Canis lupus familiaris: one gene and its partners. The protein of the gene in region 1 purifies or fractionates together with the protein of each later gene. This does not show direct contact. Links are inferred from orthologs where the notes say so. Each region holds a gene or a part of one and is shown in the gene's direction. Other genes may lie near its edges.

Evidence for each region.
Region 2: the proteins of RACK1 (region 1) and HELZ purify together in Homo sapiens (affinity purification with mass spectrometry; 3 studies listed by BioGRID and IntAct, counting the BioPlex papers as one, with this or other methods). This does not show direct contact. The link is inferred for Canis lupus familiaris from reciprocal best matches to the Homo sapiens genes RACK1 and HELZ.
Region 3: the proteins of RACK1 (region 1) and HDLBP purify together in Homo sapiens (affinity purification with mass spectrometry; 3 studies listed by BioGRID and IntAct, with this or other methods). This does not show direct contact. The link is inferred for Canis lupus familiaris from reciprocal best matches to the Homo sapiens genes RACK1 and HDLBP.
Region 4: the proteins of RACK1 (region 1) and TNRC6C purify together in Homo sapiens (affinity purification with mass spectrometry; 3 studies listed by BioGRID and IntAct, counting the BioPlex papers as one, with this or other methods). This does not show direct contact. The link is inferred for Canis lupus familiaris from reciprocal best matches to the Homo sapiens genes RACK1 and TNRC6C.
Region 5: the proteins of RACK1 (region 1) and RIOK3 purify together in Homo sapiens (affinity purification with mass spectrometry; 3 studies listed by BioGRID and IntAct, counting the BioPlex papers as one, with this or other methods). This does not show direct contact. The link is inferred for Canis lupus familiaris from reciprocal best matches to the Homo sapiens genes RACK1 and RIOK3.
Region 6: the proteins of RACK1 (region 1) and LARP4 purify together in Homo sapiens (affinity purification with mass spectrometry; 3 studies listed by BioGRID and IntAct, counting the BioPlex papers as one, with this or other methods). This does not show direct contact. The link is inferred for Canis lupus familiaris from reciprocal best matches to the Homo sapiens genes RACK1 and LARP4.

The regions. Positions count from the first base shown.
Region 1 is NC_049232.1:611,186-616,616, reverse strand, and holds the start of RACK1 (receptor of activated protein C kinase 1), read left to right. Parts: upstream 1-2,185; 5' UTR 2,186-2,305; coding exon 2,306-2,414; intron 2,415-2,698; exon of another isoform or gene 2,699-2,766; intron 2,767-3,355; coding exon 3,356-3,527; intron 3,528-3,829; exon of another isoform or gene 3,830-3,908; intron 3,909-4,067; coding exon 4,068-4,215; intron 4,216-4,429; coding exon 4,430-4,525; intron 4,526-4,944; coding exon 4,945-5,055; intron 5,056-5,431. UniProt on the Homo sapiens protein: Scaffolding protein involved in the recruitment, assembly and/or regulation of a variety of signaling molecules. Interacts with a wide variety of proteins and plays a role in many cellular processes.
Region 2 is NC_049230.1:13,536,401-13,541,211, reverse strand, and holds part of HELZ (probable helicase with zinc finger domain), read left to right. Parts: intron 1-262; coding exon 263-833; intron 834-1,245; coding exon 1,246-1,486; intron 1,487-2,513; coding exon 2,514-3,030; intron 3,031-4,811. UniProt on the Homo sapiens protein: May act as a helicase that plays a role in RNA metabolism in multiple tissues and organs within the developing embryo.
Region 3 is NC_049246.1:51,351,460-51,356,976, reverse strand, and holds the start of HDLBP (vigilin), read left to right. Parts: upstream 1-2,109; 5' UTR 2,110-2,224; coding exon 2,225-2,262; exon of another isoform or gene 2,263-2,366; intron 2,367-2,955; exon of another isoform or gene 2,956-2,978; intron 2,979-5,517. UniProt on the Homo sapiens protein: Appears to play a role in cell sterol metabolism. It may function to protect cells from over-accumulation of cholesterol.
Region 4 is NC_049230.1:3,938,270-3,943,080, reverse strand, and holds part of TNRC6C (trinucleotide repeat-containing gene 6C protein), read left to right. Parts: intron 1-1,364; coding exon 1,365-1,532; intron 1,533-2,840; coding exon 2,841-3,032; intron 3,033-3,509; coding exon 3,510-3,653; intron 3,654-4,811. UniProt on the Homo sapiens protein: Plays a role in RNA-mediated gene silencing by micro-RNAs (miRNAs). Required for miRNA-dependent translational repression of complementary mRNAs by argonaute family proteins.
Region 5 is NC_049228.1:64,905,403-64,910,213, reverse strand, and holds part of RIOK3 (serine/threonine-protein kinase RIO3), read left to right. Parts: intron 1-996; exon of another isoform or gene 997-1,222; intron 1,223-2,800; exon of another isoform or gene 2,801-2,966; coding exon of another isoform or gene 2,967-2,987; intron 2,988-3,101; coding exon 3,102-3,217; intron 3,218-4,030; coding exon 4,031-4,176; intron 4,177-4,269; coding exon 4,270-4,377; intron 4,378-4,586; coding exon 4,587-4,696; intron 4,697-4,811.
Region 6 is NC_049248.1:42,379,112-42,383,922, forward strand, and holds part of LARP4 (la-related protein 4), read left to right. Parts: intron 1-465; coding exon 466-678; intron 679-1,368; coding exon 1,369-1,472; intron 1,473-4,811. UniProt on the Homo sapiens protein: RNA binding protein that binds to the poly-A tract of mRNA molecules. Associates with the 40S ribosomal subunit and with polysomes. Plays a role in the regulation of mRNA translation.

The DNA.
Region 1 (5,431 bases):
CGCCCATGGAATTGCGGGAGGCCAAAGACACCTACAGAAATCTTGGTCTCTGTGGCCAGAGGACTCTGGGAAAGGGCTGCGCAGAGGTGAGCCTGGGGAGGACGAGGCTAGCCGAGGAACGGCCCCCTCTGGAAAGGGGCCTGGTGGTGACGAAAGGTCGAGTCCTTGAGCATGCGTGAGAGACCTGGGAGGCTTGTTTTAAACCTGTCCTCCTGGCCCTCTTTCAGAGATGTTGATTCCACAGGGGCTCCTTAGCAAAATTCAAGAATACAGAGAGCCAAATGAGATTTCTCGAGAGGAGTAAATATAATATGACTAACCAAGGATCTCTTGGGTGAAGGCAGGAGATGAAGGAACGCGTATTCTTGAACTGAGAGGAAATCCTCTGCATGTACAGGCCAACACAGGGGAGTGTTTGCTCTGTGCATTTCCACAGCGTGGAAATCTCTCACCTCTCTATTTGTCCCAACCGCCCAGGGCACTGGCACGACCCGAGCTATGAACAGTGAACTGGATACTGGTGTGGGTGAAAGTAAGGGTCTCCCATTACCAAAACAGGTCAGGGTTGGGGTCGACTTCGAGTTTAGTGTTAGAAGAAAAAGACAGCTAATTGGGGGTGCTACGGAGGCATTTAAATGACCTTCGCAACTGGAGCCCTTGAAGCCTACTCAGAACAGCAACCACCCTGAGGAGCCATGTTCTTTCCCCCAGACTGCGGGCCCTCTGTCAGCTGCCCCTCACGCCTATCTCACTGTTCGGTTTTCAGCACTTCCAACACCTCCAGGATGTTTTGCACTGAGCATCCCTGCCCCCAGAACCTTATCCTCCCGTGTATCCACAGGGCTGTCTCCTTCTTCGTCTCTTTGCTCCAATTTCCTTCCCCCTCACTCCATCAAATGTAAACTCCAAAAAAACCTGGTCCTCACCCCCCTCTTGCTCACAGCTGTATCCCTCAAGACCTAAAACAGGGCCTGGTACCCAAGAGGTGCTAAGTTTGCCTGCATTTATTCTGCCAAGCATTGTTCTGGGCCCTTTACCTACCATAACTCATTTACTCTTTTCAACACCATTTTGGGTGGGTACTATTATTTCCAACCTCATTTCACAGATATGAAACTAAAATTAATACATGTTACAAACAGAAAATAAATACTTATTATGTATAATTCCCCCCCCCCTTATTTTGCTTAGATGATAGCGAATGGTACCACCCTGGTACCTCTCCCCCTTCAAAAAATATGTGACAGGAGCGCTGCCTGCCAGCATCGTCTCTCAGTTATCAAGGAGGCACTACATATTCACGTACCATGCGGCTAAACAGGAGGCCGGTAGGCAACCTGGGAACCCTGATCCACGGTGTCCCAGGCAGGTGGAACCTCCTTAGGGGCACGTCTGGACTCCCCAGACCCGCAGACCTGCCTGAGAGGCGGTGAGGCTCAGAGCCCGCTTTCACTCGAGACCCGTAAGTCAGAACCCGGAGGCCTTTGCTCTCGGGGTCTCTGTCTCTGCGTCGGCTCTCCGCGCTCCTGCCCAGGTGGGAGCCGGGGACGGACATGCAGCCCACGGGCCGATTGTTCGTTCCTCCCCGGTTTTCCGCTCCGTAACCTGTTCCTGTGTTTACTTCTGCCTGGACTAGGTCCTTCCGGACAGGGAGTGCCTCAGCCAATTCCCTCAAAGCAAAAACCTCTCCAGGGAGGAGTTGCCCTCTGCGAAGGAAATCAGTCAGAGTTTACTGGTTCACCTAAGTACAGTGTATTTCAAAAACTGAATACCATATTTTTCATATTCCTTACCGTTACTGGCAGTTCTCACCTCGAAATTGAGCTCCCTCAGCCTGGCCCTCCAGACCACCAAGCGGAAAAGGCAGGGCTCGCGCTGTGCCACGTGGGGGCAGGGAAGGCGCCGGACGTTCCTTATGGGAACATGCTGTCTGTGCCCGTCCCCTCTTCGTCTTCTTATACATCACGCCTCAGTGGATGTTTGAGGGGCCTTTTTAAACACCTGGTGGAGTTGGTTTCAGAATGACTTGGCATGGCACTGCCAAATTATGTTGCATGGCGGAGGCGACCATAAAGTTTTGCCATTTCATCTCGCCTTTTGACTTACGAGGCGCCGCCATCTTAGGCAGGAGTGAATAACGGGGGCCGCCATTTTTGCTCGAACGGGAGGGTATTTCCGGTTCCGGCGGGGACCTTTTCCTTCTTTTCCTCTGGAGGGCCTTGTCGGGAGCGGCTGTGCTGCTAGTCCTTCTGAACTATCCATCTCCATCCTTGTCGCCGCGGCGACACTCGCTCTCGCCGCCGCTATGACTGAGCAGATGACACTTCGTGGCACCCTCAAGGGCCATAATGGCTGGGTGACTCAGATCGCCACCACTCCCCAATTCCCAGACATGATACTGTCTGCTTCTCGAGGTACGGGCTAAGGTGCGGGGCAAAGGATTGAGGGATAAGTGGGTTGCGCGTGTCGCTTGGCGACTTGGAATACTCCGTCCGGGTGTGAGTTGGGGCATGCGGACCCGGGCCACGGCCTCCGCTTGGATAAACCCGCGAACCATCCCCGCTTGGCAGAGACGGAGACCTAGGTCAGCTCGTGGTCGCCAGGAGGATTGCAGGGTTGGGGTTTTATTTCTTGCCCATCTTCTCGCAGATGTGTGTAGGTGTGTAGCTGAGTGTGCTCAGGAGATACGGGGTCGGGCGGAGCGGTGATGATGCCAACATGCCATCTGAGTACCTGTGCTGAGAACCAGAGGCTGTTTCTGAGCTTACGCCCGGCCCGTGCTTAGTGGATAGACTGCAAGAACTCCCCTCGTTTCTTTTCATTCACTGAACCTGGCAGCATTCGGAGGCTTCTTGTGCCTTTTGCTGGCCCCCACACTATTAAAAAATAGTCTGAGGCCAGGATCATGTTTGGAGAGTAATTGGAAAACTTGTTGTTACTAACACGTTTCAGTGAAAGCATCCAGTCAGGTAGGATGTAAAGCAATTTTTCCGAATGCAGCCATTAGTGATTGTAGGAATCCCACAGCCAAGCAGCAGTGTTTATGCTTTAGACCTCAGATCAGACTCCAAGAATTGAATTGATCTGTCAGAAAGGGGCATCCATAATATGCTAAAGTTCTGCACACCAGAGTTTAATTTTCATGGCATTGCTTAGTTCTACTTGAATCTTTTTTGAATAGCCAATCACCTTGGCCTTGACTAGTAACAGCTCACACCCTGTAGTTCTTCCCCCTTGAGAGTCCTTAATTTGTTACCTTTTAAGTCCACCGATGACACTGAGGGATCCTGGATTATCCAGTAGGTCAGCAAGTGGGCTGTTAACTCACTGAGTTTTCTTTTTTACCTCTCCTTAGATAAGACGATCATCATGTGGAAGCTGACTAGGGATGAGACTAACTATGGCATCCCACAGCGTGCTCTTCGGGGTCATTCCCACTTTGTTAGTGACGTGGTCATCTCCTCAGATGGCCAGTTTGCCCTCTCAGGCTCCTGGGATGGAACCCTTCGTCTCTGGGATCTCACAACGCAAGTAGCTGCTCATTTAACTCTGGGACACTGGGCAAAGGCTAGGCAAAAATGAGGTAGATGCTGTTGGGCGGTGGTTTCCAAGGGAGATTGAGGTTCATTGTGGGTACTTAAGGCAAGAAAGTACCTAGAAAAGGTAGTTGGGATTGTTTGGCTTCTATCCTTGCTGGTTTAATTAGTTATGCAGAATTGTTAGAGGAGTGGGCTGGTTGAGTTTTACCACATACTGTGGTTGGGAGTAGGCAAGTGTTGAACATGTTTTATCTTGGGAGCTCAGTACTTGGATGGCCGGGCATAATGAGCATCCCAGTGATGACAGATGACATTGTCAGCCAATCCCTACGTGGGAGTGAGGACATGTCCTGCAATTCTGAAGGGATACTCTCATATATGCTCAACCATGGGCCTGTTGTGATCAGACCTATGTCCAGGGTCATGTGAGTAATGGCAGCTCCAGTGAGACAGGAACAGACCAGGGAAACATTCTGATGTGGAAGAGTGTTTGAGGCATCTAGAGACTGACCACGTCCTCCTCCTCAGGGGTACCACCACACGCAGATTTGTAGGACATACCAAGGATGTGCTGAGTGTGGCCTTCTCCTCCGACAACCGGCAAATTGTTTCTGGGTCGCGAGATAAAACTATCAAGCTATGGAATACCCTGGGTGTATGCAAGTACACCGTACAGGTAACTGAAGGCACATGTAGAAACTTCTCTCCCACCCTTCTTAACCTTGGCTTTAAGGTGATTTTAAGCCTGGCCTGGACTCTATAAAGGGAGCTCTTGATATTAATGGTTTGGGTTCTAGGGTTGTGAACACTTCCATGTAACTGAGGGAAGGTGAGGTTCTGGTTTCATGGAGACAGGATACTTTCTCTAATTTCTTTTCCATCCTCTGCAGGACGAGAGCCATTCAGAGTGGGTGTCTTGTGTCCGATTTTCACCTAATAGCAGCAATCCCATCATTGTCTCCTGTGGTTGGGACAAGTTGGTCAAGGTGAGCTTGGAGCCAGGGTATAGGGCCTTCACCAGCCAGAATGTTCTCCCACTGCCTCTCAGGTGGTCATAGGATCTAAGTTTGAAAGCTTTGTCCCTCGGTTCACTTTTCCTGTTGCACTCTTCTAAGTACAGGCCAGTGGTTTTTGATATTTGGTCTGAAGTAGCTCATGAAGCCCAGTGTCCCTCATAAAGCAACACATAGAACATTTGTTACCTTTTTTAATCTTGATTGTCCCTTAGGTGACCAAGACAAATTCTTTTTAACATTTTTGTTACTGATAGAATGAAAAATGGTCACCCTGTCCTGGAATGCTTTTAAATTAAGTAAATCGTGCCTTTTTTGTCCTGAGCAGTCCTGACCCCAGTTGGTTCAGAGCCAGATTCTTCACCTTTTACCCTCCACCTTACCAAACCTAGGTATGGAACCTGGCAAACTGCAAGCTGAAGACCAATCACATCGGCCACACGGGCTACTTGAACACCGTGACCGTCTCTCCGGATGGATCTCTCTGTGCTTCTGGAGGGAAGGTATTCAGAAACTGGGAGTTTACTACTCAGTGAGGGACTGTTTTAAAAAGATATTTAAGATATTGAGGTAGCAACCAAGAATAAATATCTTAAGATTGCTTCCTGGAAATGACATAGATAAGGCATACTGTTTTAAAGAAAAAGATTGTTTTCAGTAAAGCTGGTTTCTTGAAACTGTTCTTTTCAGAACTGATTGTTCTTTTCAGAACTGATTTATTTAGAAGTTGTCAGAGACATCGTAGGGTTGGTGAGGTGCCCTGCATTAAAGGAAAGGCATTCAGAGATAAATATTGGTATTTGAATCATTCATTAGTTTTTGGGAAGTTTGCGGGGGAAGGGGGACTGTTAAGTAATAAAAAAAATTTTTGAGGCAGTT
Region 2 (4,811 bases), on another chromosome or scaffold:
TAAAGTGGATATGTTAATAAGATGGTAGTATTTCTCCTTATGACTCAAATTTAATATGCCTTTTTCTGTTTCATCTTTTCTAATTTAAAAGATATTTATTCCCTCATTCGGTTGTCAAAAAGTGATTGGGTGGATACCCAGTCCTCAGCTGTGACGGATAAGAATGTATCCTATCCTGTAGATTTACTAGGGGTGGGAAAAGGTAGATAGCCACAGGACCCAGATCTTCCATAGTTAAGAAAGACTTCTTATTTTTTTCTAGATTGATTTGGAATCAAATCCACAGAACAGAAGTCCTGAGTCGCGTCCTGGTGTTGTTTATCCCAATGCCAAATTTCATCGCAAAGATAATCTCAACCCGAGACACATAAATCTTCCTCTCCCTGCTCCTCATGCACAGTATGCAATTCCCAATCGTCATTTTCATCCCCTTCCACAGCTACCCAGACCACCGTTTCCAATTCCGCAGCAGCACGCCTTGTTAAATCAGCAGCAGAATAATTTGCCTGAACAACCAAATCAGATGCCACCCCAACCGAATCAGGTAGTCCCACCACAGAATCCGTTGAACCAGCTGACTCAGCAGCCACCTCCTCAACTTTCTCCTGCCTATCAGGCAGGACCCAACAGTGCTTTCTTTAATAGTGCAGTTTCTCACCGACCACAGTCCCCTCCTGCAGAACCTGTGATTCCTGAGCAGCAGCCCCCTCCCATGCTGCAAGAAGGCCACAGTCCTCTGCGAGCCATTGCGCAGCCTGGCCCCCTCCTTCCTTCACATCTGAATAACTTCACTGATGAGAACCCCCCAGGATTGCCTATAGGGGAGGCTTTAGGTAAGTTCTCCTGTCACTGCTGGATGTGACGAATTCAGAGAAAATTTCCTTAAATTGACATGTACTGTGCAATATTAATTTGGGTCAGGATTGATTCATTTCTTCAAATCATGGCAGCAGAATTCAGTTGCTTTGTCTAACAGAATCTTGTTCCAAACACTATATAATATTAAGTATCTAGTTGATCCAACTTACAGGATTACATGGGTAAGAAAGAATCATCATCACCATTACCATGACTTTAGTTACTGGCAAATTTAGAAAACATTTGCTTTCTCCAAAACCCAAGTTGTAGGCATGTCTTTTGTCTCTGTGAAGAAAATCTGGTTGAAAAAACTTGATTACTTGAAACCCCAAATTAACCTGAAACCCAAATGCATGAAAACTTAAATTCTTCCCCGATATTTTGCAGATCGTATGCACGGGAGTGTAGCTCTAGAAACACTAAGACAGCAGCAAGTGCGGTTACAGCAGTGGAATGAGCATCACGCCTATCTCAGTCAGGGCAGTATTCCATACCCACACCATCACCATCCTCATCCTCACCTCCAGCATCTTCCTCAGCCACCCATCGGATTACATCAGCCACCAGTGAGAGCAGACTGGAAGCTCCCCAGCAGTGCTGAAGATGAAGCAGAAACAACAGACTCAAGGTATTTCTGCAGGGTAAAAATCACCTTGAAACATGACTCCCTCCCCCTCCCCACACACCCTGTTTTCTTTCTTCAGTGTTGTTCTTTTAGCCTCAAGCTGGAATACTGTCCCAAAGAAATTGGATGCTGGCCTTCCAGGCACATGCTACACAGTTCTATCGATTGACTCTAAAATATAGAGAACCCATTTAGAAGGAACTGGTGCAAATCTGGGCATGGACAATCTGTTGTGGATTGAAAATTAATGTGTCCCCTTGCTTTGTGGCTCTCCTGAAAAAGAAATATACCCTCACTGTGAGCATTTCTTTCATACTCAGTAGTAATACAAGAAATGAATGGACACAGAAGTAAATTATTGGTTGAAAGTTAAAAATTATAGATTTATCATCAATTTTCCCCATTTGCACAGAATTCTATCTTCTTTTAACTACAGATGTTCATGAGTGTTCAGTCCTTATTCTAAACTTGTTTTTATAGCCGTGTCATTTGAATGGAATGAAGTATTTCCTAATCCCTGTGAACAAATTCCACCTTGATGGTGACTTTATAACAGCCATTTATCAAAGACATGTAGAGACAAGGACAATTGTTTTTAATGCCAAGGGAAAAGAAGGAAATCAGGTACTTGGGCATATTTAGTATCTTCAACTCAGCATTTATTGAGTGTTACTGCTCACTTTTTTTTTTTTTAAAGATATTTAAATTTTATTTGAGAGAGAGCCCATGCACACAAGTGAGGGGAGAAGCAGAGGGAGAGGGACAAGCAGACTCCTTGCTGAGTATGGAGCCTGACTCAGAGCTTGATCTCCCAACCCTGAGATCCTGAGCTGAAACCAAGAGTTGAATGCCCAACCGACTGAGCCTCCCAGGCACCCTTTAATGCTCACTTTTGGGATTAATTGATATTAGTTCTAAAATGAAATATTCTGATTTTGTCTGTAAAAATTAACACGTAGTTGACTAAAGCTCTCCTTGATATGACAGAGCTTTTGTTTTCTTTTCCTCATATTTCATCATCTTTATGTAGGTTTCAAGACTTAATCAGAGAACTATCTAATCGTGATCAAAGTGAAACACGGGAACTAGCTGAAATGCCACCACCTCAATCAAGACTTTTGCAATATAGACAAATTCAGACTAGGAGCCCACCAGCAGTCCCATCTCCCCCATCCAGCACAGACCACAGTAGCCACTTTTCTAACTTTAATGACAACAGCAGAGACATTGAAGTAGCCAACAACCCAGCATTTCCACAGCGCCTACCGCCCCAGATATTCAGCTCGCCTTTCTCGTTGCCATCTGAACACCTTGCCCCTCCTCCCTTGAAATACCTGGCACCTGATGGAGCATGGACTTTTGCTAACTTACAACAGAATCACCTAATGGGGCCAGGTTTTCCCTATGGCCTACCTCCCTTGCCTCACAGGCCACCGCAGAACCCTTTTGTACAAATACAGAATCATCAACATGCTATTGGTCAAGAGCCATTTCACCCATTGTCATCTCGAACAGTATCTTCTTCTTCGCTCCCTAGCTTAGAAGAGGTAAATGTCTTTCTTTTCCTTTTGGGATTAAATTCTTATGAAAAATACTAGTATTTATTGATTTGATGAGAAGAGAATTAAGTAGTCTTTTGAAGGTAATCTTTTCCTGGAATTTATTTTAATTTCCACTCTTATTGTGGTATTTCAGGCTTTATAGAATGGTCATTATTGTTGAAACATGCCCCTTAGAGTTTTTTATTGCTGTTTTGGAATATTTAACATCTGACTGACCTGAGGGGGCTCTTCCTTCAAGCAGCTTTTTGTTCTATCTAATCTGGGCAAATGGTTTCTAGTGATTCATCTTTTTACTTAAGTTACATTTGTCAGTTATAAATGTGTTAATTAAGCTTTCCATAGATGTTGGCTATCTCAGCCAATGGTGAATTCCTAGTGCTATGCTTCCTCCTGGCATCATCCTGGTGCTTTCTTAGCCTGGGGCAGTTGATACACTGCAATACTGATATCTGAGAGTCAGAATGGACAGTGTATTTAACCTAGAATTGACTCGGCTCAACTAGGCATTTTAAGGTAAACTGGATTTTTATCTTAAAATATGTAGGTATTTCTAAAGAGCATCTCTATGGACCTTCACTGATAAGAAAATCTCCGTAATTCCAGGTTATAAAACTTCCAAAATGGTACCATTGGTGTAAACTATAAAAATGTTGTCTAGCTGGTCCCCTTAAACTTGCAGTGATTAAAGATGAGAATGTAGAAAGTTGATTGGGGTCATTATCAATCACAAATGTCTTTTTATTAAAACAGGATAAACATTTCCAATTTTGATACATGAAAGATATCTTTTTGACATTAGCTTCATTTTGGCAGTTCCTTGTTGATTTCTAAAGGCTTTAAAAATGATTCACGTGTTTAGCAAATTTTCTGCTGTACATGCTGATTAAAAAGTCATTTCATAGGGATGGTTCTTTATCTTATTTGTAGAGTTTTGGAGGTAATTTGTTCACATTGTTCCAGTAGACATTGACTGGCTCATCTCATATAATAATTCTCATGAAAACAGCTTAATTGCCATCTTAGGCTTCTGATATCAGTTGTAAGCATAAGATGAATTGGTATCTGTATATATGTATTGTAGGGATCTAGAAATTTGGAACCATACTTTTAAAGATTTGACACATATCTGACATTATTTCAAGTTAATAATGGGAGGGCTTAACAGCTAAATAGTAAGGTCATTTTCAGTTAAGTGATGTTTTCTGTGTTTATGTATTTCTGATAAAATTCATATAGCTTCATTATTTCAACCCTTTGAAAGTACTATTTAGTGGGTTTTAATATATGTACAATATTGTGTCACAGTCACCACTCTATAATTCCAAGACATTTTGTCAAACTGAGAGAAATGCCATAACCGTTAAGTAGTTGCTCCCTAATTCTCCCTGCCTCCAGCCCTTGACAACCAATAATCTACTTTCTGTCTCTATGGAGACATTTCATATAACTGGAATCATTCAAAATGTGGCCTTTTGAGTCTGGCTTCTTTCCTTTAGCATAATGTTTTCGAAGCTCACGCACTTTGTAGCATATGTTAGTACTTCATTTCTGTTTATGGCTGAGTAATACTCCATTGTATGGATATACTACAATTTGTTTATCTCTTCATCAATTGATGGATATTTGGGTTGTTTCCATTATTTTGCTGTTATGAATAATGCAGCTGAACAAGTTTTTGTGGGAAAGGATATGTTTTGTTCTCTTGGTTAACTTTGTACCTGAAATGACCTTGAGTCATGTGGTAACTCTATGTTTGACTTTTTGAG
Region 3 (5,517 bases), on another chromosome or scaffold:
ATCCACTATGACTTTCTAACAACATAAGCTACTAGCTAATTAATGTAAAATGAAGCTGAAAGAGGACCAAACCACGGAACTTTTGAAGCACCTGGTTTTCACTAAGAAAGCCTGCAACACGGGATGCCAAGCTCTGTGATTTACACCATGACTGCAGACCATTTGGATCCCCCACACTCAATGTGGTCAAACAAAAACTTCATTCTTTCATTTCAGGTTGTGCTCATTCTAGACGCTGGCAATTTAGACGTCTGTCTTTTCCTGAGCATGGCTTCCTTCTTCCACAGGGCAACACTCCCATCCCAATTCACACAGAACAAGGCAACTTTTCCAAAACAAAAGATGAAAAACAGATGGATAAAACTAGATTCTTGGCAATACGTGTAAATGTATTTCGCTAGTGGTATTTCTACCAGCGGATTGCCCTAACTACCCATCACGGTCGTGTTATTCCTGCATTTACACACACGGCCCCAACCCACACAGCGACGCTGAAGAGGACCCCGAGAGTCCGTTATCCCTAATCCAAAGCTCTTGAGACACTCGACCTTCAGATTCTCTGGATCTGAGGGAGGCACGACTCCTACACAGCGTGAGCTCAGCGGCTACCGGGGCAGCGCGTCACAGACACCGACACGTGTGACCACCAGCACGACGTGGTGTAAACACAGAAGGTAAAAGGCCTTCGGCCCAATGCTGCAGCAGGTTCTGGTGCGCCCTTCTCTTAGCTTACGCCTTCGGAGTCGGTCTAGAAAGGAGCCTGAAGCGCACTCATGAGCGAGGACGAGGGCAGCCGCGCCCCCCGCTTCCCTGGGTCGCCCTGCCAGCTCCAAAGCAGTCCGTGCACATCTGACCTGACCCGGCAGCCCCGGTCGTCACCCGGGCTGCAGTGCCAGGGGGCAGGTCAGGATGCAAAAGGGGAAAAGCATGAGGATCCCCTGGGCGGCCGAGTGCTCCCGGCCAGCGTCCGGGCCGAGCCGGGCCCCGGGAGCGACAGGCGGCCTGCGGGGAGCGGACACACACGGCCCGCCCGGGCCGCAGCCGCACCTCCCGGGGACCCCGCACGGCCGCGTCGGAGCAGCTCGTCCCGGCGCGGGGCACGTGCCCGGTGCGCCCAGGGCAGGGCCGGACCCCAGCCCCAGAGCAGCGCGGGGCGGGGCGCGCGGGGCGAGGCCGCAACCGGGACGAGACCCCGCGCCGGAGCACTCGCCGGACCCCGCAGGCCCCGCCCGGTTCCCCTCCCCCGCCGCCCAGGCCTGCCGCGCCGGGTTCTTCCGGCCACGTCCCGCCGCGAGCGACGAGGACCCCGGGGCGGAGGAGGGGGAGGGGCAGGGGCAGGGACGGACCAGGATCCCGGGGAGGAGGGGCCCCCGGGGTGGAGGAGGGCCCCCGGGGCGGAGGAGGACCCCCGGGGCGGAGGAGGACCCCCGGGGCGGAGGAGGGGCCCGCGGGAGGACGAGGACCCCGGACGGAGGAGAGACCTCCGGGGCGGAGGAGGGGCCTGCAGCGAACCAGGATCCCGGGCGGACCAGGGACCCCCGGGGCGGAGGAGGGGCCCGAGGCGCAGGAGAGCCCTCGGGGCGGAGGAGGGGCCCCGGGGCGGAGGAGGGACCCCGAGGCGCAGGAGAGCCCCCGAGGCGGAGGAGGGGCCCCGGGGCGGAGCACGGACCCGGGGGCAGAGGAGAGCCCGGGCCTGCGCCCCTCCCCCACACCCAGCGGGCCGCCGCCCGCGCCCCCTCCGCCCGCCGCCCTCCGCCCGCCGCCCTCCGCCCGCCGGCCTCCGCCGCGCCCGCCTACAGCCCGCACCCCCCCACCCCGCGACGGCGGGGCCCCGGCGAGCCACTCACCGCCGACCAGACGAGCGGAGAAGCAGGCGCCCACCGACCGCGCCGCGGACCGCCCAGAGCCCGCCGCCCACCCCGCCCCGCGCGCGTGGCGTCATCACGTCGGCCCGCCCCGCCCCGCGCGCGTGGCGTCACCACGTCGGCCCGCCCCCTCGCCCGCGCTCCCTGCCCCGGCGCGACCCGGCCTCCTCCCCGCCCCCGCCCCCGCCCGCCGCGTCCGAGAGCGCAGGCCCGTCCGCGCTGGCCGCCTCTGCGCAGGCGCCGCGCCCCTCCCACGGCGGTTGGCCATATAGAGGCTGGGGGCGGGGGGAGGTCAAGCGGAGCCTCTTCTCCTTTACCAAGATGGCGGCTCGTCCCTGCTCCGCCACGGCGCCCACCTTATGAGCTCGGCTTCCTGGCGCCGACCAGAGCGGAACAGGTAGCGCGGGTCCTTGCCTCGCGGGTGCGCGGCGTGGGAGGGAGGGCGTTTGCTTAGCGCGAGCCGGGGGGCCGCCGAGGGGAAGACGGGCGGCCGGGGTGCGGCGCGGCCGCGGCCGGGAGCCTCCGCCTCCGCCTCCGCGCTCTCCTCCGGGAAGATGGCGGCAGCGCCGAGCGGGCAGCGCCGGAGCGGGGCCGGGGGCTGCGGCGGGCGGCCGGGCGGGCCGCTCTAGCCCCGGGCCGCCCGCGTCTCGCTGGTGCGGGGGCTTCGGCCCCATTGGCCGCCGCGGGTCACGTGGGCCGGGGCCTGTGCGCGAACCGGAGAGCGCGGCGGCCGTCCCCGGGGACTCGGGCTCCGGCCTGGGCCGGGGGGGGGGGGGGGGGGGGCGGGGCGGGCCCGGGGTGCGCCGCCCGGGCGCCCCTTCCCCGCCCCGGGACCTCGGCGCGCTCGCACCCGCAGGTCGTGGCCGGGAGCGCGGCCCCTCGCCCTTGTGCGCCCGCGTCCTTGGCCCCCGCTGGACCCCGAGCCCCGCGACCCCGGCCGCCCCGACCTGGCGGGGAAGCCTGCGGCCGCGCTCGGCCCCGGGGCGCAGAGGGCAGAGGACGCGCGCTGGTTTTTCTCTTCCCGAAGCAGCTCGTGGCCTGGCACGGGGGATTCGCCCGCGGGGATGCGCGGGCTGCAGTGTTTTGAGGGCAGCAGCGCACACACGGCCCCAGGTACGGAGATAGGAAGGAGGCGGCGCTGCGGTTCCACCCGGCGTGGTTCTCGGTTCTCGGACTGGATTCGGAGCAGGAGTCTCGCCAGAACCGGGGGTTGTGATCGGGAAGACGAGCTTCTGCCAAGGGGACGCGACGGGCGGGAGGTCGAGCGGCTGGCCCGGCCCTGACTGTCCCGCCGCTCCCGTCCTGCAGGCCTTCGCGCCCTCTCTGTCCTCCAGGACGGCCCGGTTAGGGCAGGCTCTCCCGGGATTGCAGCGTCCCCCTGGGTGACTTACCCGCGTGACTCGCGACTCGATGCCATAGGTTCTGCACTCATGCTTCCCAAACAAAACTTGCGCATTTGCCAGGGTGGTGTGAGCAGAGAACACACTCCTCGGAGTCCCGAAGGGTGCTTCTGTTGGGTGCGGTCCATTGAGCCTACATCCACCCCCCACCTCCCCCCCCCCCCAGGGCCCGCGCTCAGAGGAAGCTTTGCCCTTTCTCATTAGGAAGAAATAACTAAGCTCCTGGAAGAAACAGCGCACAACTGAGTTTAGTTGCCAAGCTGCTGGCAAGAGGTCCAGCTCCTCGCATATTGAAAAGCTTTTGACCAAGTGGAAACCCAGAGAGCATCAGCGTGTCACAGTGCCTTTTCCTTTTAGTTATAAAAGCACCACAAGGTTCGACATTTGAAGACCAAGAAAATCAAACGGTCTTCATCTCTATGACCTTTTAGAAATTGAGTACACGAGTTATTTTGTGCCTAAGTTCTTTTTGTGTGTGTGTGTGTGTTTCTAAAATCAGACATTTTACAAGTGACAATCCCTAGTGGGCTGTTTGACCAGGCATGCTAATGTTCCTTAAGTACTGCTAGAGACGAGCCAGGCGTGTTGTTCCAGACGTGTCATCTTGATGGCTGCAATTAATTTCATAACAGTACATTGACCATGTGTGCTCTTCCTTAATACATTTTATTGGCATTCATGTGGATTTTAAAATTAAGACCTAATTTTATTTCAAATCAAGGTTGTATCTTCAAGTAGTTTTTTAAAGGAATACTAAATGTAGGAAGGCTTTCAAGGAGACCCTGAATTGCCTTCCCCAGTCCTGTCAATTCTCCTGCAGAGCAGACACGTCCCCCTCTTGGTGGGCTCCTTTGGTCTCTGCCTCCAACTCTGAGCGGCACATGCGCTCGCCTGCTGGTTCATGGCTTTCCTCTTGTTGCACGCCTTGTCTCCTCACTTAACCCTGAGAAGGAATGTGATGTCTGTAGCTTCCTTTTACCTTCCCTGCGTGCACACACGGCCGCCTGAAGCCCGTGCACCTTTACCTTGCTTAGTCCAGGTTTGAGTGTTCATGTTCTGACTCCATGGGGCCATTCACAGCTAGGCAGATGGTGTGCTGCGATTACTTTACCTTTTCCACGTCATCAGATTTTGTTTCTCCTGGTGTTCTTATGAGTCTTGTTTTTTGTTTGCTTTTTCTGTGTATTTATCATTACGGTCCCAAATTGACCAGTTGTCTAAATCAGCTTTCAAGAAACAGTCCTTTTTTTTGTCTGATGAAATTCAGTATTTTATTAATCTCTTCTTGGATATACATCCTCCAGGCTCCCACCTGCTGTATTCTTCTTGCAGGTCCCCAACCCCGACCCCTTCATAGGGTCCTTGGTTTCCAGGACACACCAGTGTCCCTTTCTCTGGACTTGGCTACCCTCATTGTGGTGGAACGCTTCCTTAAGGCGTTGCCCGGGGGCAGATGAAGGGGAGATAAAGTTTCGAGAACAAGAATGTCGAAAATGCTGTTTCTCCCCGTGTGTCTGGGTGAGAGACACCATTTTGCTCTGACTTCTGTCTTGAGGGTTATTGTTGAAGGCTTCTGACATTTTGATTTTTCGGCCTCTATACGTGGATATTTCTGTTCTGAAGCTTAAAGGATTTTCCTCCCTGAAATGCACAACACGCAGCGCAGTGATGTCCCTCGGAGTCTGTTTCCATGTAGTGTCCTGCCTACTTTTTAGGCCCCTCTTACGTGGAAAGTCCCGTTCTTCAACACTAGACATTTTTAATTTATTGCTTTGATCTCTTCCCATTCACCTTCTTTTTGTGGAATTCAACTGTTGGGCCTTCTGGATGGACACTGATTTTGCTTGGGTTGTCCACTTTCTGGAAGGCGTTCTCAACTTTATGTGGGCCGTATTGTTGAGCTGTGCTCCATGCATGTCCCTGAGACTGTCCTCCTGCCCCCTCTGTTCCAGCCTTCTCACATCCTGGTTTGGTTTTGGTTCGTAGCTTGTTGTTGTACCTCCCCTTATCTCTGAGGACGTTCCTAAGTTTGGGGGGGTTTTCTTTCTTTGAAGTCACAGTTTGCTTCAGGCTACTTTATGTTTGGGATTTTTGGCTTTCGTTTCAGGGCTTTTCTGTACTATCTGATGATATTTTCCCATCTGTTCAAATGTCAGTTGGGACTTGTCAGCTGTGGTGTTCACTGCAGAGATACCTGCTTGGGCCATTTCCTAAGACACCCTGTCACCGTCTTCCTGTCTCTTGAGCTTCTG
Region 4 (4,811 bases), on another chromosome or scaffold:
CTTGCTCTGCTGTCTCTTGACTGCTGGGATTTGTCATCCACACGGGAAGATCAGGCATAGAATAATGAAAACCTTCATAGGCAGTGCTGCAGAGAAGGGAAAGCTTGTGTTCACCTTAAGTGGTGAAGGAAGAACCCAGTGCAGGAGCTAAGCTTGGATCCCAGATGAGCTGGACTTTAGTGACAAGAGCCTGGAACAGAGGAAAGGGAGTGTCCAGGGTGGTCGTGCTAAGTTGTGGGTGGGGGTCCACATATGAGCATGCAAGTTGGGGAGATAGGTTCAGGCCAAGCATTTTAAAGGCCAGGCCAGAGCCCAGCCTTGTTGTCCACTCACCTGACTGGATCTGTACAAATGGAAGTAAAGATTGCCATCCGTGTGAACCCCACACAGGCAGCCCCAGGCAGCATCTAACATGCACAGACATTTTGTTTCATCTGCAGAGTTGTGTGTGTATTTGCCACTATCCCCACCAGGCCCACTTCATAGCCACTGGGCCCCTGTATGCATTTGACTTGGCCATCACGGATTTAAAGCCAAGAACAAACCTGATTGATACTTTGCTTAGGAGTACAGATTAACTTTGACTCATGTACCAAGATGTACAGTCTGTGGATCCTAGGGTGCGCACCTGCCAAGTATTCTCCACCAGCTGAGCATTCAGTCCAGCTCGTAACTGGTGGCCCCATCAGGGACTCTTTATCATCCTCCTCCCTCTCCTTAGTAACCTGGCACGGTGTTGCCAGATACAGCAGCAGGTTCTTTAGCTGTGAGAAAGAAAACCCAGGGTTGGCATGCACTCCAGCTGGGGGCAGGCAGCAGTCCCCGATGCTCTCCAATAGGTCAAGTCCTTAAAATGAGTTTGATATTTAAAGTCCTGAAGAGCAGACTTTTAGTAAAGTAAGTTCACTCAAAGTGGAATTGCGTTATTGCTACTAGATTGTTCTGGAGGTGCTACTTTAGAACACTGTCAGAACTCTGAAAGAGTTATATTGATCTGGTGAGTTTCCCTAAGATATCCTAAGATCAAAAAAGATTTTCCAAATTGTCTGGACTTGCACTGTCTTTCTGTGGGTACTGAGGAGCACTGGGACCATGTTTAACTCTGAAACGTGTGAAATGGAGAGTTGTTGGTCTTACTTAATCAGAGAATGTTCATTTCCATTTCACCTTAATTCAGGAATAATGTTCCTGGAAACTTAACATGTTGTTTAAAAGACAAAAGTTTTTCTTTCTACCAGCATTAAAAGTTAGAGTGAAGTATGTGGCCATGAGTTAAGACTTGGATTGATTCTCCAGGAGAGCTTTAGAATGCAATAAAATCTAGAGGAAGAGTAGGCATATGCTAACAGCATTTCTATTTTTAGCTGGACTGAACCCAAACATGAATGTCAACAGCATGGACATGACTGGTGGTTTGTCGGTGAAGGACCCGTCCCAGTCCCAGTCACGTCTCCCTCAGTGGACACACCCCAACCCGATGGACAACTTACCCGGTGCTGCTTCTCCCCTCGATCAGAACCCCAGCAAGCATGGTATGTCTAAGCTGGGGTGCCTGTGGCCCAGCCATGCCTGTTCCAACTGCTGACTCTCCAGGTGTAGAGCATACTCATTCTATCACTCCCACTGAGTCTCTTGTCTAAGAATTCGATCACAGAGTGTGTAATCTGGGCTGTGGTCAAACTTTCTGAAACCTCAATCTTCAGGTCTTTGCTATAAACCCAGCCGGAGTTGAAAATACCCCAGGGCAACAAAGAACATTGGTCATAGTCTGCATATTTGTTATTGATACCTGTGTTCTTCAATAAAAAATTTGTCTACTGAGAAAAAAATTTTTCAATAAAATGATGAAACACAATAGAAAATCAAATGCTTAAAAAAAAGAAGCAAAAGTGCTGATAACTAGAGGAGGTGACCTCACTATTAAGCATTAACTTTAGCTCCCAGTTTCCTGATAGCATAAATAGGGAAAATGTAATAGACATATGATTCTTTCTTGATATAAATATTCTAAAAGGAAAAACAAAAATTAATAACCGTTAATTCTACAAGAAAATCCTCACACGCTACCGGGGCACCTTCCTGGCCTTGGCAGGAGAGCATAATCGCCTCTGGCAGGGCGGTCCAGTCCAGAAGATAAGGGCTCTGTGTTCACACACCCAGTGTGTCCTTACAGAGGGAGGGCAGGACACACACAACTGCAAAGTCCATAGCTAACTACAGAGACTCATAAGCTGGCCCAGAATGGCACAGGCCTGCTTTCAATGGTATGGGTTTGTGTTTTATCAAGGTTTCCAACTTGAGAAACTAAAATGGTTCTTAAGGAATTTTGTTTGGTCTTGGAGTGCCTGGATGGCTCAGTGGGTGGAGCATGCGACTCTTGGTCTCAGTTTGTGAGTTTGAGGCCCATGTTGGGGTTGAGATCACTTAAAATCTTAAAAAAATAAAAAGAGGGGGGCCTCAGTGGCTCGGTTAGGCGTCTGCCTTTGGCTCAGGTCAAGATCCCCGGGTCCTGAGATGGAGCCCTACATCAGGCTCCCTGCTCAGCCGGAAGTCTGCTTCTCCCTCTCCCTCTGCCCCTCCCCACTACTCTTGCACTCTCTCGCTCACTCGCGCTCTCTCTCTCAAATAAATAAAATATTTTTTAAAAATAAGTAAAACAATTTCAGTCTTTCACAGATGAAGTTTGGGCTAACCAAAATGGTTACTTATCTTTAGAGAGTGCTGGACAAACCAAGTCTGATGGTTCATGTACCTCTGAAAGGGGCGGGGCCCAGTGCCTAGTAGTGAGGGTCAGGAGCTCCCATGTTCACTCAGCTCTTTGTTTCCCACTGTCCCCACAGGTGCTATCCCTGGAGGTCTAAGCATTGGGCCTCCAGCTAAGTCCTCCATCGACGACTCCTATGGCCGGTACGATTTAATCCAGAACAGTGAGTCACCAGCCAGTCCTCCTGTAGCTGTTCCCCATAGCTGGTCACGTGCCAAATCTGACAGTGATAAAATCTCCAATGGCTCCAGCATCAACTGGCCCCCAGGTAAGAGTGTGCAACGCTTCTGTGCAGCAGCAGATCAGAGCTGCCCCAAGCCTGAGGAGAGCAACTCTGCTCCAGAGAAGCCAGGATCTGAACTAAGAGTCCTAGAAACACGAACCCCATAGCTTTGGCTTTTCCCCTAGAAATCTGTTTGTCACACAGATTTGGGAAGTGGTTAGCACCCAGCGTTTTTCTGTAGTCCCTCAGTTCAGTGAGGGGAGTGGAAGGAGAATGGATGCTGTATCTCATCTGGCCAGACTGTTTCTAGACTCCACACCATCTGAACACTCTCTTAATGTGGCCACTATAATCCCTACTTCTAGCTTGTTCCAAAGGGTGGGTGATTTACTGAAAGAAAGTGAAGGATGTGTCTTCTATTCTAACTAGCAGATTATAAGAATTTCCATGAATTATCATGAAGGAGTGTGAAGATATTGTATTACTCATGTTTTGATTTCCATTTTGTTTGGAATTTTCCAGAATTCCATCCTGGAGTTCCATGGAAAGGACTTCAGAATATTGATCCCGAGAACGACCCCGACGTCACTCCTGGAAGCGTCCCCACTGGGCCCACCATTAATACCACCATACAGGACGTCAACCGCTACCTCCTCAAGAGTGGAGGTGAGGAGAGCGGGACTCGACCTGCTTGGCACAGAAGGCCTCCTACGTGCGTTCAGAGGCGCCAGGGTGGTGTGCGGGCTGTGGGGCAGGGATGCTGTGAGACACATCTGTGAGCACTTCTCACCATCTGGAGATAGTGCTAATGGTGAAAATGGAGATTGATTTGCTGGATTTATGAACACATCCTTTCTGAGCCCTGTGCCAGTACATCCCGATATTAACCATTAAGCTTCTCAGTGAACAGGTTCCCACTTAAAATTTATTGAAACTGCAGGCAGATTGACCCCTTACTTACTTCTCCACCCCAATCTGTTTCCTTCCACAACGTCTGGTAAAAAAGTCTGAAATCCGTCCCCAGCACTGTGTTCCTGGCACAATCGTGGTGCTAGATCTGGGCTCACCCTGTGTCAGCCTTGGACCCAGCAGGAGGAAGTGAGGAGCTAGCTGTGATGATGGAGGCATACATGCCGCTGTCAGGCATGATGCTGAGAAGGGTAGACGGAGCAGCTCTGGAAGTGCCCACCCTGATACAGTGGCAGTGCCGACATCCAAATAGTGGGAGGGAATAGCTAGGCTGCCACAGAGGCTCATCCCCAGTAAGACCACTCGGTCCCAGAATGTTAATTCGGGTTTCCCACTTAAAGTGAGACTGGGAGAGAAAGGTAGGGTTCTTTAAAGTGATAGGCTTCTAGGTGTTGCTGTGGTTTGGGTAGAAAGCCAGCAGAAGTACGGATCATCCTGTTCAATGTTGTGCATGCCTCGCTTCCTAGAGCAGCCCTGCTGTTGGGGACAAAGGAGTGGTACAGGGGACAGGAAGTGGAGCCTGTGTGAGATGCCAGGGGGCAGGGTGAGTCACAAGCAAGCAGTCAGACTCAGCCCCCAGTGCTTGTCCCTGTAAGTGTGGCAGCAGGGTCATGTCACAGCAGGAGTGTCCGTTGGGGTATTTTGAGGATCTTGGGCAGGTGTGAACAGACTGCGCTGACCCAGGTATTGAAAGACCCCAGAAAGAGTTGAGGTTACTCAGCGTAGCACAGAGCTTCCTGCTAGTGCCCTGTGGGTCCTCTAGTGGTCCCCTGGAGCATTGCAGGTGACCTCCACATTTGCACAAGCGTGCCATGATGTGACAAAGGCGGCCTAGAGAAGTAGGTGAATTCTAAG
Region 5 (4,811 bases), on another chromosome or scaffold:
TTTGAGATTTTATTTTTTTGAGAGAGAGAGAGCAAGCAAGCAAAGAGCATGAGTGGAGGGAGGGGCAGAGGGAGAGGGAGCCTGACTAGGGGTTCCAACCTAGGACCTCAGGATCATGACCTGAGCCAAAGGCAGATACTTAACCAACTGAGCCTTCCAGGCATCCCTAATGTCTGATTTAATAGAAGACTTTTGTGATATGTTTTAGTTGAAATATATGAAGGGCAGCCCCGGTGGCACAGTGGTTTAGCTCTGCCTGCAGCCCAGGGCATGATCCTGGGGACCCTAGATCGAGTCCCACATCAGGCTCTCTGTATGATGCCTGCTTCTCCCTCTGCCTGTGTCTCTGCCTCTCTCTCTCTCTGTCTCTATGAATAAATAAAATCTTTTAAAAAAATGTATGAAGGCATGGAGGGGTGAAAGTATGCCATAATTAGCATATAATTATTGTTATTTACGCATAGGGTACATAAGGGCTGAGACTAGAAAGATAAAGTGGGTCAAATTTTGAAAGACAATCCTTGTTGAGGAATTTGGATTTCATACTGCAGGCAGTATAGTGATTTGTTTCTCACATTCCAGAACTAGGTGATTAGGGAAGCAGTATAGCAAAATGCTGAGGGCAGCCTCTTAAGTTCTACTGCCTTGGTTCAAATCGTAACACTTCCATCTACAGTGTTATTTTGAGTTAAAAAAAAAAAAAAACCCTTCTGTGTCTCAGTTTCTCAATCTATAAAATGGGGATGATAGATAGAGATATTGATAACTACATAGTGGTTATGTGTCTCAAATAATCTATGCAAATTATACATATTAGGCAAATGACTCAAATATAGTGAATATTCCAGTCTTGTCTGTTACTCTGTTGTCATTGCAAAATGTGGTTGACAGATCTGAGTTAGAGAATACAGCCATTTGCCTTTTGGATTCTGGACTTTGAAACTGATCAGACCAGACATTTCTAGGTTAGGACGCAGCATTATGTATTCTTTCTAGAGGATTCAGAAGTCAGCAGGAGTCATTGGCCAAGAGAAAGCTGTATTCTCTGGATTACAGAGAACGTCAAGATTCTAGACCTCAAAATCCTCACCAGGAGACTGCTCATTTGCACCTGAAGATCTGAGTGAATGAAAGTCACATCAGACCTTGAGAAAGCCTTCCTTGTATTCCCCACATCTGGCTTTATGTGAGGCTGGAATAATTCTGCAGTAGACTAGTATAGGTATGTTCTGGGGGCTGGGTGCATCTCATTAATCTCCAGATGAGGTTAGATAAAACTTGATTCTGATTCACTTAGTCATAAGTATAGTTATCATTTGAGCTTCATCCTAACAACCTGAACCAATTAAATTCCTGAACTTCAATGCTATAGAACCTGAACAAGAGTGGTAGGCCAGCTAGAGTACCTAAACTTGATTTAAAAGTTCCATGGCTAAAACAGGGTGTCTGGGTGGCTCAGCCAGTTAAGCATCTGCCTTCGGCTCAGATCACGATCCTGGGTCCTGGGATCAAGACCCTTATCGGGCTGTCTGCTCGGCAGGGAGTCTATTTCTCCCTCTCCCTCTGCCCCCCACCCCCAGCTCCTATTCACTCTATCTCAAATAAATAAAAAAATTTTAAAAAGTTTTGTGGCTAAAACAGATATCATATGCTATATTCTAAATTCTAAATTAGACACCAGCAGTAGTTAAGGAATGGGTTTGGACTTTATCCTAAAGGTAGTAGGAAACATGAAAACAAAGAGCTTTAAATAGGGAAACTGAACTAATCAAATCTGCATTTTAGAAAAGCTGGTGTGCTATATATGGTGTGGAAAATGGAAACAAGCAGGACTGGAAGCAGAAAGATGAGTTAGGACTCTCTTAATAGAGTAGCCTGGTAATGGGAGGGTGATACCTTGGAGTAGAATCTCAGAAGGAAGATAGAGAAAGCTAGGTCAGTTCAAGAGATTTAGACATATTATTCAATATTAGTGGTCTTACTCACAAGTGTAATCATTTCCTGCTGCTAAGGAAAGCTTGCCCCCTCAAAAATTAGGAATTGTGAAATAAACTTACGGTTTGTATTTCAAGAGGGCTGAGATAGTTATGCCATTGAGGAAGTCCAACTGGCTGATCGTCCAAGAAGAGCCTCACAGAATATTGCTTTGTTGTAGTAGTATTATTTCAAGACTGTTTCTTAGCTTCTAAAGTTCAGAAATGTAGATTTTACTGTTTGTCATTGTTATTTTTGTTTCAACGTATCCCCAGATGTCTTGAGAGCAGCTGACATACACTTTACACATGTAGAAGACTTACTCCTTAAATTAGAATGAGGTGTAACTTCTAAGTGGGCTTTGAACTGTACTAGTTGGTGTAGTCTTTTCCTAAAAGAGAATCTACAGGGGCATCTGGCTGGCTCAGTCCGTAGAGCATGCGACTCTTGGTCTCTGGGTAGTGAATTCCAGCCCCATGTTGGGTATAGAGATTATTTAAAAATAAAACCTTTGGAAAAAGAGAGAGAGAGAGAGAGTCTTCATGGGAAGCCAGATTAAAAGCAGAAGATTATTTGGTGAGCATGCAATCAGAACAAGGGTGGTTGCATGTACTCATCAGATAGTGGGGTAATGCTATAATGGCCTGATGTTCCTCCTCAACTAAAAAGACACACCTACTGAACAGGTTAGAAAGTGCTTTGACAGATTTAATTTCCATTTATCTTTGATTAGATTTGAGCTGGGAGATATTTTTACCTTTTTTTTTTTTTTTTTTTTTAAGATTTACTTTAATTGAGAGAGAGAGAGAGAGAGAGCACAAGAACACCCGTCTGAGCCGGGGGTAGGGGGCAGAAGGAGAGGGAGAGATATCTCAGGCAGACTCCTCGCTGAGCATGGAGCCTGATGCAGGGCTCAATCCCGTGACCCTAAGATGACAACTTGAGCCGAAATCAAGAGTCAGACACTTAACTGACAGATACTAGGCATCCCAATGACTTTGAAGATGATTTCTGTAAGTAGGTAATTATTTTGGGTTGATTTTTTTAATTCTCTAAAGATAGCTTTATTTTCAAGTTTAGAAGGTACTTTCATTTTTATGAATTAACCCCTCCTTTTCTTTAAATAGTGTCCATGGGCTACCCCTCAAAACACAATATCTTGTTCCTTGGCTGATGTAATGAGTGAACAGCTGGCTAAAGAATTGCAGTTGAAAGAAGAAGCTGCTGCTTTTCCTGAAGTTACGTAAGTAAAATTCATAAAGAATCTATTTTGTCCAGCAGCTTGTTATGAAAGTTTTAAGATTTGATTAGTGGTTGTCTTGACCAATGATTAAGAAACACATTTTGAAAATCAATGCAGTAGAAAGAGCATCATACCAGGAGTTCACTGATATTTGAGTTTTGGTCCTGATTCTGTGATTAGTTGTCGGTACTATCATGGGCAAACCACTGTGTTTCTCTGGATTTTAGTTATTGCAACAGTTGAACCACATGATCTCCAAATTAGCAAATAGTGAAGTAGGATACAGGTTTGATTAAATATTGCTGTTTTATCTTCTCATATATGTGTTATATTTCCAGAACACAGAAGAAGATTTTTGAGTTTCAGTTTGGATTTATTATGGCCCTTTTATTTATTTTTATTTTTTTTAAGATTTTATTTATTTATTCAAGAGAGAAACAGAGAGAGAGGCAAAGACATAGGCAGAGGGAGAAGCAGGCTCCCTTTAGGGAGCCCAGTGTGGGACTTGATCCCAGGACTCCGGGATCATGCCCTGAGCTGAAGGCAGATGCTCAATCACTGAACCACCCAGGCATCTCTATTATGGCCCTTTTAGCATTTTTGTGTAGCTCTCTTAATCCTATTTGGTGCTTTTACAAACTCCTGGCATTAGTCAAAGGGCAGCTGGACAGAAGATGAATGATTTGATCGAATTTTTCCCTTTTTTCTTCAGTACAATTTGTAACAGTGAAAAGGCACTCTCTAGTCCCATAATTGGTAGCATGTATATATGCAAGCACATTATATTAATTTATGTTGCCTTATTTTGAACAGTGCCTCTGAAGGACCATTTATTACCGGAGAAAACATTGACACTTCTAGTGACCTAATGCTGGCTCAGATGCTACAGATGGAATTTGACAGAGAATATGACGCACAGCTTAGGCGTGAAGAAAAAAAATTCAATGGAGATAGCAAAGGTACTGTGACCTTATTGTGAAACCTCCATTGGGTGGCAGGAAATACTTGTAATGTGTTCCTAAATAAATCTTCATTTGTTTTTGCCTTTTAAGTTTCCATTTCCTTTGAAAATTATCGAAAAGTGCATCCTTACGAAGACAGTGATAGCTCTGAGGATGAGGTTGACTGGCAAGACACTCGTGATGATCCCTACATACCAGGTATCAATGCTTTTATTTTCTGGGGTGAGGGTAGGACAGGGACATAGGAAGACTAAGTTTTCCAATGGATCCTTGTATTTTATATTTACTCTTTGAATCTTGTTTGGTAATTTGCTATTAGATTCAAATATCTTTTCAGACAACATTGAATGCAGGAATTTAGTCTTTGCTACCTTCACATAAACTTGGCTTGTCTTAATCGCCTTTAGCAAAACCAGTTCCTACTCCCAAAAAGGGTTTTATTGGAAAAGGAAAAGACATCACCACCAAACATGATGAAGTAGTATGTGGGAGAAAGAATACAGCCAGAATGGAAAATGTAAGTTACAGGAAGTATTATCTCTGAATCAAGAGTTTTATTGGGATAAATTAAAAACATGGGATTTTTAAATACAATATTTTATCAACTGCAGTAAAACAAAAAAAACTTTTAA
Region 6 (4,811 bases), on another chromosome or scaffold:
ACGCTGGGATTATGCCCTGAGCTGAAGGCAGACGCTCAACCATTGAGCCACCCAGGCATCCCTGTTAATTCCATTTTAATTGCATTTCTCCTACAAGCAAGATTTAGCATCTTTTCATATGTTTAAGAGTCATTTGCCTTCCTTTTCTCTGTGAACTCTGTTCATTTCTCTAATACATTTTTTATCTCTGTTTTTAGAATTTGTATACTATGAATATTAGCCCCTTTGTCATAAGTTGCAGTTCTTTTGACTATCTTGACTTTTGTAGTTTTACGTTGTTCATTGTTGTACTTGCCATGCAAAAGTTTTTTAAATAGCTTAAAGCTATCCTTTCCTTTTGCTCCACTGACTCTATAAGTAGGCAAAAATAATATGGTTGGTTAAATATGTTTAAAATGTAAATTAAATATACTTGTGAAAATATACACTGAGTTCTTCATTATAATGTGTTCTTCTTGCTTCTAGGCAAGGATAAAAGCCATCAATACATTTTTTGCTAAGAATGGTTATCGATTAATGGATTCTAGCATGTATAGTCAGCCCATTCAAACTCAAGCACAGTATGCCTCACCAGTTTTTATGCAGCCTGTATATAATCCTCACCAACAATACTCGGTCTATAGTATTGTGCCTCAGTCTTGGTCACCAAATCCTGCACCTTACTTTGAAACACCACTGGTAAGTGAGATCCTTAGAGAATTATAAAATTTTTCATTCAAGCTGAAATTTTAAGAAATCAGCTAGAGTAATCACTTTTTATTATTGTGTTTTGTGTTGATACTGATTTCTTTCTGGTTTTTAAGGTAGAGATAAGGATATCAAGGATATCTAATTCCCATGTGACTAAGAGTTGAGCTATTTGGTTCCTATTTTATTCTTTAGATTTTGCTGAATAAATTAAAATAAGAGATTGGATAAATCCTGATTAGTTTTAAAATGCTTTAAACTTTTTCAGAGAGAAATGTTAAAATAAAGTACAATAAAATACTTTATTATATTTAATAATTTATTTAAAATAAATAAAAATAAAGTACATTTATTAAGTAATGACTTAATGATTCCTTTTTCTGTAAATCAAGTGATACTTGAACAAGTGACTGTTACAAAAGTGAGTAAGTAAAATGCTTAAGATTATTTTTGCATTGTAAAAGAAACTGAGGGGGAGCCTTGTTGGCTTTAGTTGGTGGAGCATGTGACTCTTGATCTCAGGGTTGTGAATTCAAACTTCATGTTGGGTGTAGAGATTACTTAAAAATAAAAAATCTTAAAAATTTGATCCTAGGTTAGTTCATCAGGAGTTTATTAAACCTTTACACTAGGTTTTACCCTTTTTTAAAAATTGCTTTTAAACATTGCATTTTCTTTTAGGCTCCCTTTCCCAATGGTAGTTTTGTGAATGGCTTTAATGCACCAGGATCTTATAAAACAAATGCTGCTGCTGTGAATATGCCTCGACCATTCCAAAAAAATCGGTAAGGTAAAAGTCGTAGGGGAATAAGGGCATCTGGATTATTCAGTCAGTTAAGTGTCCAACTCTTGCTTTCAGCTCAGGTCTTGGTCTCAGGGTCATGAGTTCAAGCCCTGTATTGAGCTCCATGCTCAGTATGGAGCCTACATAAAAACAAACAAAAATGGGGATCCCTGGATGGCTCAGCGGTTTGGCGCCTGCCTTCGGCCCAGGGCGTGATCCTGGAGTCCTGGGATCGAGTCCCACATTGGGCTCCTTGCATGGAGCCTGCTCTTCCCTCTGCCTGTGTCTCTGCGCCTCTCTCTCTCTCTCTCTCTCTTTCTCATAAATGAATAAAATCTTTAAAAAACAAAAATAGGGCAGCCCGGGTGGCTCAGCGTTTTAGCGCCGCCTTCAGCCCAGGGCGTAATCCTGGAATCCTGGAGACCGAGGATCGAGTCCCATGTCAGGCTCCCTGCATGGAGCCTGCTTCTCCCTCTGCCTGTGTCTCTGCCTCTCTCTCTCTCCTCTCTGTGTATTCTCATGAATAAATAAAATCTTAAAAAAAAATAAAATAAAAATAAAAAACAAAAATATAGTGGATTATGTTGTACACAATTCCCAGTAGTTCTTAAAATATTACTGTGTTAATAGCAGTGCTTATTTACAGATTTAGTAAAAAAACTTAAATGATTTACTTTAGAATTAATAAACACACTTTGACTTTAGAGTAGGTAATGTGTGTAAAAAATACTTAGAACTGAGATTGTACATAATACATACTGATTTTTTTTTCATACTGATTTTTTAATAAAATAGAAAATTGTTTTATGATAGTAACAAAATCTGGTATTTAAGTACCATTTAGTATGTTAAATAGGTAACATTTTGGAAAATGAGAGTTTTTTTGAGGATAGAAGTGTTAGCTGATTTCAGTATTGTATGCTGGGAATATGAGTTATTTGGGATTTTTGAGAATTGACTTTTGAAATTTCCACGAACTGTAGTGTTCAGCAGACAAAACTAACGTTTATGGAACATTAATGTCTAAAGCTTTGTTAAAGACTACATATTTTATCACAATTTTCATAACCCTGTAAGATAGATAGTTATTATATCTATTTAAGATGAGGAAATTGAGACATAAAAGGTTAAATATCATGTCTGTGAGCATGTAGCTAGTAACAGAGAGAACCAAAAGTTTGAACCCACACAATCTGACTTCAAAGCCAACACTTAAAAAAAAAGTGTTCTAAATAAATTATTGAGAACTCAGGGAATTATTTGCTATCATATAAAAGATAAGTCTCTAAGTGTTATTTTTATATAAACAATTGATAATAACTTGGGGACGCCTGGGCTCAGCGGTTAAGCGTCTGCCTTCCTTCAGCTCAGGGCATGATCCTGGAGTCCCAGGATTGAGTTCCACATCTGGCTCCCTGCACGGAGCTTCTTCCTTTGCCTATGTCTCTGCCTCTCTCTTTCTGTGTCTCTCATGAATGAATAAATAAAATCTTAAAAAAAAAAATAACTTGGTATATATTATGGCTTTTGACAGTATGAGTGACCTAAGAACAAAGGGCTTATATAGTTGCTTAGATTTATTTAATAGTTTCACATTTATTGTTTTTTGTTTGCTTATTTTGTGGGCCTCCTGAGTTTTGGATTTTGGCTTTTTAAATTATTTCTCCAGTGATTTTCTCTTGCCAGATCTCATTCTCCCAGTTGATTCTTTTTGGCAAGGAGACTAGATGGGGTGTGTTCTTCTGAAATTACTTCTAGGAACTTAATTCTTTTTTGTAAGGTTTACTTGAAACATGCTTCACTGGAGAAAGAATACTCGTAGTATTAAATATTCTCAGTGGATTCTGGAGGCATTCATGTGTACCATCCTCTGATAGTCATAGTTTTTTGTATTCATTTTAATTGTCACAATTAGTTAAAACATTTGAAAATTGTTTTTAAGTGTCATAAAAATTTTACTACATATGCCCATTCTTACTGCTTTATGAAATTTCAAATGTAATCTCGTCATATGACAAGATGAAAGATTCTTCATAGATAAAAGAATTTTTAAAAATAAATGAAAAATAGATTATTGTGCTCTTGTAGATGATTCTTAGTTTGGTAATAAAGTAACAACTGCAAAATTCATGTATTCCTGGGACATACGAATAGAAGTACAGGGAGCCTCATATATTGTCCTTTAATCCCATCCTGTTCAAAAAGGTTAATTTCCAATGAGCACATAGAATGGTGTTTAAATCTGGAAAGACCTTTGTTAATGGCGTAGTTTTAACTCCTTTTATAGATGAAGAAAGTGAAAGCTCTTGAGGACAAAAGTCTTGCTTAGAGTTACATGACTAGGTATTATCAGCAGACTTGAGATTAGATCCTTCCTTTCTTCTACCATAACTGGTAAAGCTTTCTGTTAAAAATAATTTAATTAGAATAAATGACAGCTTGCAACTTCCTTGTTAGAAAATACAGATTAGGGATCCCTGGGTGGCACAGCGGTTTGGCGCCTGCCTTTGGCCCAGGTCGCGATCCTGGAGACCCGGGATCGAATCCCACATCGGGCTCCCGGTGCATGGAGCCTGCTTCTCCCTCTGCCTGTGTCTCTGCCTCTCTCTCTCTCTCTCTCTCTCTCTCTCTCTCTGTGACTATCATAAATAAATAAAAATTAAAAAAAAAAAGAAAATACAGATTACTCTGATTAGAAATAGCTTTTAGAAATATGTATCTGTTGATTTCACCTTTTTTTTTTTAAGAGTGATTTTTGCTTTAGACAGTTGAGTATACATCTTTCTTATCAGATAGACTAAAAGCAATTTTTTATTTTATTTTATTTATGATAGTCACACAGAGAGAGAGAGAGAGGCAGAGACATAGGCAGAGGGAGAAGCAGGCTCCATGCACCGGGAGCCCGATGTGGGATTCGATCCCGGGTCTCCAGGATCGCGCCCTGGGCCAAAGGCAGGTGCCAAACCGCTGCACCACCCAGGGATCCCCTAAAAGCAATTTTTAACTAATAACTAAAAGTACTAGCAATTTGTAGATTTTTGACTAAAAAATGTATTAAATGGGTTCTTGGTGTTCCTTTATTGTCACTTGTTTTTATTTGCTGTGCTTTCTTGGTGAAAAGGTTGAAATTACAATAACAAAGCCAAGAATGATAGTCCAGTCATCCTTGCTTATAAGAGATGTGCCTATGCTTTTAAAGGTACAAGTTTAGTATAATTTTGCTTGTTATTCAAAACCATTCATGTACCATCCTTTTTTGTATACTTGACCAATACAGATTGTTAGTTTTTAGTTACAAAAATTATACATGAGTAGTACTTTATTCTTCTTCTTTTTTTTT